Linked DNA regions of Cricetulus griseus. The protein of the gene in region 1 binds, or shares a complex with, the protein of each later gene. Links are inferred from orthologs where the notes say so. Each region holds a gene or a part of one and is shown in the gene's direction. Other genes may lie near its edges.

Region 1 (3,511 bases):
TGACTGTCAGCAATAGCATCTCAGTTGTTGCAACCCCAGACCAACTTGTGGGTTCCTCATCTGAAGTTTTCAGTTCCTTTTTAATCTGACTCACGTCCTTCACTGCTAGCCCCATAACAGTTACCCTAGAAGTTTCTGCTTTAATTCTTCTTAAGATTTTTGAACTGTCTTTATTCTGCCTTCCTGGGGTCTGGGAAATCTTCCAAAACAACTCAGCTCTGTGATTCTGTGCATCATTTTGCCTATTCACTGGCCATCTTAGGTAAGTGACTCTCATTGCTCCAGGTGTGAAAGGGGTATTGTTGTTGTTTTTGTAGCCTGTTGAACACTACTGTCATAGATGGGCATGGTGGCACATGCCCATGCCCTTAATCCCAGCACTGGGGAGGCAGAGGAAGTGGATTTCTGTGAGTTCGAGGCCAGCCTGATCTACAGAGTGAGTGCCAGAGAAACCCTATCTCAAAAAAGCCAAACAAAAAAAAAAAAAGAAGGAAAGAAAGAAAAAAGTTTTAAGTCTCAACCCTTCCCAGGGCTTGAGGAAATAGTTTCTTAAAGAGTTTTTCCTTGAGTTTCTTAGTCCCCTTCCTATTTTTCAGTGCTAGTTATCAAATCTAGGGGATTGCATGTGCTAAGCAAGCACTGTCACACCCCAGCTTAAGTCCTCACCCACTGCCCACCCCTTTTTCCTTTTTTGAGACTTATGTGTTTCTCTCTCTCTGTCTCTCTCACTGTGTATGTGTGTGTATGTTTGAGATAGTCTCTTGTGTCCCTATTTGTCTTGAACTCTGTGTAGCCAAGAATGATGCTCCCTTGTATCTCCTGAGTGGTGGGATTACTTACAGCAGACTTTTAAAAATGATATTTATGTATTTATTGGTATGAATATGGGTATGTACATGTATGCACCTATGTGCCATGTTCTACCTGGGGCGGGTCAGACAACAACTTGGGGGAATCATTTCTTTCCTTCTACCATGTGGTTCCCAAAGATCTAACTCAGGTAGTCACACCTAGTGGTTCCCAAAGATCTAACTCAGGTAGTCACACCTAATGGTTCCCAAAGATCTAACTCAGGTAGTCGCACTAGTGGCAAAAACCTTTCCCCATTCAGCCACCTTTGCTAAGAGACTACTGATGTGTAACCCAATCTGGCCTCAAATTTGCTTTTGTAGTCCCAAGGCTCACTTTGAATTCTGGATCCTCTTGCCTCAGCCTGCTAGGACTACAAGTGTGCACCACTGTGCCTAGCATAGTCTCTCTTGAAGAAACCTACACAGTTACTATAAGAGGTATTGTGTCCCTTCCCAATCCTGTGATATAAAGGCTAACTCTTCACTCTCCCAATTCCCAATTTCTCCTTTGGTAGGCAGAGGTAGGATGCAAAGTTAGGAGAGATCACTGAGTGGATTTGAATTTGCCTCGACTAGTTTTATATCAACTTGACACAAGCTAGAGTTATGTGAAAGGAAGGAATTTCAATTGAGAATGCCTCCATTAGATCTGGCTGTAGGGCTTTTTCTTTAAATTTTATTTTTAAAAATTTATTTTGGTGGCTGGAGAGATGGCTCAGAGGTTAAGAGCACTGGCTGCTCTTCCAGAAGTCCTGAGTTCAATCCCCAGCAACCACATGGTAGCTCACAACCATCTATAATAAGATCTGGTACCCTCTTCTGGCCTGTAGGCATACATGTAGACAGAACACTGTATACATGACAAATAAAATAAATCTTTAAGAAAAAGAAAAAAAAAGCATTTTATTTAAAAAAAATTATTTTGGGGACTGGAGAGATGGCTCCGTCGTTAAGAGCACTGGCTGCTCTTCTAGAGGTCTTGAGTTCAATTCCCAGCAACCACATGATGGCTCACAACCATCTATAATGAGATCTGGTGCCCTCTTCTGTCTTGCAGGAATATATGCCAGAACACTGCATACATAATAAATGAATCTTTAAAAAATTATTTTTTATTTTATATACCAACCCCAGTTCCCTCTCCCTCCCTTTCTCCCACCCCCCACTCATACCTCATAGAGAGGGTAAGGGTAAGGCATTTTCTTAATGATTGATGGTGAAAGGCCCAGCCCATTGTGAGTGGTAGTCCTGGGTTCTATAAGAAAGCAGCTGAGCAAGCCATGAGAAAGTAAGTCAATAAACAGCACCCCTCTATGGCGTCTGCATTAGTTCCTGTGGTTCCCGCCCTGTTTGAATTCTTGCCTTGGCTTCCCTCAGTGATGGACTGTCACCTGGAAGTATAAGCGGAAATAAACCCTTCCCTCCTCAAGTCGCCTTGATCATGGTGTTTCATCACAGCAACAGAAACCCTAGGTAAAACAGTAAAGTCAAGTGAAAAGAGATAGAGTCAAAACTGGAAAGATTGAAGCCGGGCGTTGGTGGCACATGCCTTTAATCCCAGCACTCGGGAGGCAGAAGCAGGCGGATCTCTGTGAGTTCAAGACCAGCCTGGTCTACAAGAGCTAGTTCCAGGACAGCCTCCAAAGCCACAGAGAAACCCTGTCTCGAAAAACAAAACCAAAAAAAAACAAAAAAAAAAAACAAAAAAAACAAACAAAAAAACAAAAAAACTGGAAAGATAGATACGCTTGCCTTTTTGTTTTGTTTTGTTTTGTTTTGTTTTTGTTTTAGGCTACCACAGAACCAGAATTTCCTGCCAGTCGGCTTGCTCTGCAAAATTTTGACATGTCCTACGGTATACAATTTGGGGATCTTTGGCCATCAATTCGTGTTAGTCTTCTCTCAGAGCAGAAGTATGGTGCATTGGTCAATAATTTTGCTGCTTGGGATAATGTGAGTGCTAAGCTGGAACAGCTGAGTGCCAAGGACTTTGTGAATGAAGCCATCTCTCGCCAGAAACTGGAGCCTGAGAGTGACCTTTCTCCAACTCCATCCCCGGACTGCAGTCCAAACCTCCGATGCTTCACTTTTTCCAGAGGGGATGTCAGGCGCTTCCCTCCTGCTAGGTAGGATCTGGAACCATGAGGGTCATCCTCAGTCCCTGCTAGCAGTGGACATGAAAAGTTGCTCAGCTACTGCCCACTGTAATAAAAATCGGAATTGTTAGTTTCTCTGCTGTGCTTCAACAGACTAGGTGTCTAAGTGCTGTCTACACACCATCTCTTTTGGTTCTGTTAATACCCTTATGGAAATATCTGCCCTCTTTTATAATTGAGGTACAAAGAGAGTAAGTGGTGTAGCTGGTATTCAGACCCAGGTGGTCTGAGCCCCAGAACCGGCACTGGGAACCTGTTCTGACATACTGTCTTCTGTGGAAAACATCTGCCTTTCACAAGAGCAACCCACTGTATCCTTCCCAGTGAAAATGCACCCTCCTCACTGTGTGTCCCGCCAGGCCCCTGTGAAAGTAAGACCAGAGGATGTGGACTTGGTAGGAAATAGGGGTTGCCTAGGAATGCATGTAACAGATTTGAAGAAAGACAGAACTTCCAGTGTCTTGAGGAGGTGCTTATGTGTGTGAAATGCAGTGAGAAAAGACT
Region 2 (4,024 bases), about 410 Mb from region 1:
ATTGCAGCCATGCATGAGACCACACCTGGATTTTTTATGTGGGAATTGGAGTCTGAACTGCTGTTAATTGCTGGTCCATCTCTTCAGCCTCTAAAAGACTGACTTCTTTTAGTGTGTGTGGCCAGGTGTTCATGTTGAACAAAGAATTAAAAAGAAACTATTATGTGGGCATGTGTGCCATTTTGTATGTGTGAAGGTCAGTGGACAACTCTGTGAAGTGGGCTTGCTCCTTCACTTTTACATGGGCTCCTAGGGTCAAACTGAGGTCATCAAGCTGCTGCAGCCAAGTGTCTTAACTGCTTCGCCATCTTGCTGATCCTAAACACAGATTTTTAAACAATATAACTTACCAAATACTTTATCTGGGTCTGGATCCATCTTACCATTGCAGGAAGAACTTTGTTTGGGCTGTCCTGAGAAGTTATTGCTATATTACAATGCCTGCCAAAAACAGTATTCACTTAAACGGTGAGCCCAAGCACATGAATTTTGGTTGCTCCAAGAGATTCCATCGTCGATGTAGTTAGGTGAGATACTACTAGTTACAGAACAAAGTCATAAATTAAGTCATTTACCAGACACATCAGTAGGGATCACAGATAGGAAGGCTAAAGCAAAACTGGGAAAACACTTACCTACAGTAGTTTAGGTGTTAACTAATGATACCATTAGCTTTTGGATTGGCAAAAACCAGTGGTGATCTAAGAATATGTTTTAAAAGCCGGGCGGTGGTGGCACACACCTTTAATTTCAGTGCTCAGGAGGCAGGCAGATCTCTGAATTCGAGGCCAGCCTGGTCTACAGAGTGAGTTCCAGGACAGCCAAGGCTACACAGAGAAACCCAAAACAAAATTAAAGACCCTCATAGTCACAAAACTTCGGTTAGACGGGGTGGACAGTGAATGAACTTCAGAAAGGGTAAAAATAATCCATGCTAATTAGGTTCCACAATTACAGTTAGGTTATTTGGCCTTCTAGAATCTAACGCATGCTTTTTTTTGTGTGTGTTTTGTGTCCCGTCCGTTCTCGCTCCCCCTTCCCTCTCCCGCCAGTGTACTTGACAACAGGAAAAGATGGTGTGAGCTTAGCTTCACCCGAACTAAGGAGGGCAGTTGAGAAACCCCGGTAGCATTGCTTGTTCGTGGCAGAGACGCGCTGCGCAGTTGGGGGGAGCTGCATCTGCAAGCGGCTTGCATCCGGCAGGAGCCTGCGGGACTAAAGGATTGGCGGCGGAACTGAGGAACGCTGTCACCCGAGAGTGGGCGGACACAGACCGGAGGCCGGACACTGTGGGCCAGGAAGGACCGCCCCTTCCGGTGTCCCGGTTGCGTTCGCCGCTTGGGCTCATGGCTGCTCTGGGTCGGCAGGTGAGGTTGCCGTAGGTCCCGGGCTCACAGCGGCCGTGGACGGGACGGGACGGGACGGGGAGGAGGCACCGCCGCTGCTGCTTTGTGGCCACATCCGGTCACTCTGTGGCGGTAGCGCTCCCGGGTGGCGGGTGCACAGACAGCCTGGTCCTGAGATGAGCCGCTGGCTTCTACGGAGTTGGCCAGTGTGGCGACTGTGGGCCCAGGAGGCCTGGACCCCCGAGACGGGAGAGGGGGCTGGCCACGCTAGAGAGGGCTGGGGGCCGGTGTGGCGGGCACCGGGTGCGTAACTCGTTATGTGCTGCGCTTCAGTGCCCACCAAACGTCAGTGACTAGCAGCCCTCCGTGAAGCTCAAAGTATTGGTCGTGCCCGATTCCCGCGTCTTCAGTAACTGCTGTTGTCTACATGCTCATTTCCTTCCGTGGAGACTTTTTAGGACCAGAGGTTTTACGGATAGTTTATAAAAACTGTGAGCTTTTATGGGCCAAAATACTCCGGCTCAGTGATCTTGTGGTGGTCATTATCCTGAGGTAGAGCTGATTCTGCTTGGGCTGTCTTACAGGTTTGTGACTGGCACCGTCTAACGGGCCTCTCCTGGGCCTGTTTGTCTAGGCAGACTTCTCATCTCAGAGAACGGAAAAGGATGAGTCCTGCCTTGTTCTGCAAACTGACCACAGTACCCGGTGGAGAGAGCCTTCGAGAGTCGTCCTGTGTTAGACCCCAAAAGTATGTGCTGGCACCAGAGCACAGGACACATCTTGTTCAGTGTCTTCATGAGGATCGGGGGACGAGTGTGGAGCCCAAGTCCTTGGAGCTTGAAAAGGTCACCAGTTCCCTCCAGGACATGGGTTTCGATGAAGCCCATGTTAACAGTTTGCTCAGCCTACAGCCAAGTGTCCATCCTCAACAGTTGCTGGACATAATTTCAGAATTTCTACTCTTAGGGTTGCACCCAGAACCTGTATTTGTGGCCGTGACGAAAAGTCCACAGTTACTGAAACTGTCCACGATGCAGATGAAGAGGCGTTCCAGTTACCTGCGGAAGCTTGGGCTTGGAGAAGGTAGATGAAGCAGCAGACTTGGTAGTGTGAGGGAGTCAGAGTTAGTGAAGAAGTAGCCTGCTTAGCGGGGGTGGCCAGCCTTTCGATATTGTGACATGCCATGCCATCTACAAATGTGTTAGGCTGCATTTGTAGCTGTCCTAGAAGCATGCGGGCTGCGGGCTAAACACACCTTAGTAAGGTGATGTGAGGTAGGAAAGTTTTCCGAGGAAACGTCTGATGGGCCCTCTGCAGAAGGCATTGTAAGAGGGATGAGAGGAAATTAGCCAGGAGGAGAGAACCAGGCCAAAACAAGTCCCGTGTGTTCTGTTCATTGAGGTCTCTAGCTCCAGAACAGTGGGGACATGAAGTCTGGTTTTGGTGGGTTAGTGTTGCTATGTGGTATCGGTATATGTGTATGCATCCATACATGTGACATCTGCAAAAACATGCCGTGCAGAAATTTGACCTGGTGGTGGTGGTGCCAGGTCCCTGAAAAGCTGGTAGAGAGGCCTTCTCCCTTCTCCTGACTGTTGCCGTTCTTCTGGAGAAGGGAGATGGGGATGGATCTCCAGGCTTCTCTACCCATTTGACCAGTTTTATTTCTTTATTATTAACTGTTCCTGGTAAGAGTTTTACCCATAAGTAGGGAGGTTTAGAGTCCACTATGCTTGGTGTCTCTACAGGCCGCCTTCTCTAGAAAATAAACAAAAAGATAACTATATTCCTCTTGACAGATTTTCTTTTACAGTGTCATCTAAGTCTAAGCTCAGTCAGTATTGCAGCACAATTTGAGAGAAGAAAATAGAGCACATTTTGGCTGGGTGTGGTCGAGCACGCCTTTAATCCCAGCATTTGGGAGGTGGAGGCAGGCGTATCGCCATGAGTTCCAGGATAGTCCCAGCTACACAGAGAAAACCTGTCTTGAAAAAAACAAAAAACAAAAAACATAAAACAAACAGCTGGGCAGTGGTGGCGCACACCTTTAATCCCAGCACTTGGGAGACAGAGGCAGTTGGATCTCTGTGAGTTCAAGACCAGCCTAGTCTACAAGAGCTAGTTCCAGGACAGTCTCCAAAGCCACAGAGAAACCTTATCTCAAAAAAAAAAAAAAAAAAGAAAAAAGAAAAAAAACAGAAACCAAAGGTGGTGGTGGTGGGGAACATAAACTAAAAACAAACAAAAAAAGCTTACCCTTTGGAAATTTATCTTCACATTGTAGTGAGACAGAAACAGTGGCCAACTAGGCTGTTGGGAAACTATTTCACAGTCTAAGTGGTTTTTAAGTTTGCAGCTATTAAACTTGCCAATATTCGTAACAAAATTGGCCCAACGATAATAAGACCATTTACTCCCCTTTGTCTGGGACAGTCCCTGTTTATACCAGTTGTCTGAATACGGTTACTAATGTAGCTCACAATAAACCACTTGGAGGCCAGGTTAGGGATGTAGGGATCTGAGAAGAATCTCCTCTCCTCTCCTGTCTCTCTCCCCCCACCACCCCACCCCTCGGAGTGTATGTGTGTGTATCTGTATCAGTGGGTGTTTGGTGGTTGTACAGGTTCTGGGGCACTTGTGGATGCCATAAGACAACTTCTAGAGTCAGTTGTTTGCTT

Evidence for each region. Proteins that work in one complex are often made in the same cells at the same time.
Region 2: the proteins of Nsun4 (region 1) and Mterf4 are in contact, whole or in part, in a crystal structure (PDB 4FP9), measured with the Homo sapiens proteins. The link is inferred for Cricetulus griseus from reciprocal best matches to the Homo sapiens genes NSUN4 and MTERF4. Residues at the interface, in NP_950245.2 of Homo sapiens: Pro61, Ser62, Arg64, Val65, Leu68, Ser69, Glu70, Arg136, Gly137, Asp138, Ile139, Arg141, Asn367, Leu368, Met369; in NP_872307.2 of Homo sapiens: Tyr267, Glu269, Arg270, Leu271, Gly272, Arg273, Glu311, Glu312, Val315, Phe316, Lys318, Leu319, Arg322, Glu323, Glu326.

Annotation. Positions count from the first base shown.
Region 1 is NC_048595.1:36,285,629-36,289,139, forward strand, and holds part of Nsun4 (5-methylcytosine rRNA methyltransferase NSUN4), read left to right. Parts: intron 1-2,642; coding exon 2,643-2,977; intron 2,978-3,511. UniProt on the Homo sapiens protein: Mitochondrial RNA cytosine C(5)-methyltransferase that methylates cytosine to 5-methylcytosine (m5C) in various RNAs, such as rRNAs, mRNAs and some long non-coding RNAs (lncRNAs).
Region 2 is NC_048595.1:444,768,157-444,772,180, reverse strand, and holds the start of Mterf4 (transcription termination factor 4, mitochondrial), read left to right. Parts: upstream 1-1,222; 5' UTR 1,223-1,346; coding exon 1,347-1,367; intron 1,368-1,930; coding exon 1,931-2,429; intron 2,430-4,024. UniProt on the Homo sapiens protein: Regulator of mitochondrial ribosome biogenesis and translation. Binds to mitochondrial ribosomal RNAs 16S, 12S and 7S and targets NSUN4 RNA methyltransferase to the mitochondrial large ribosomal subunit (39S).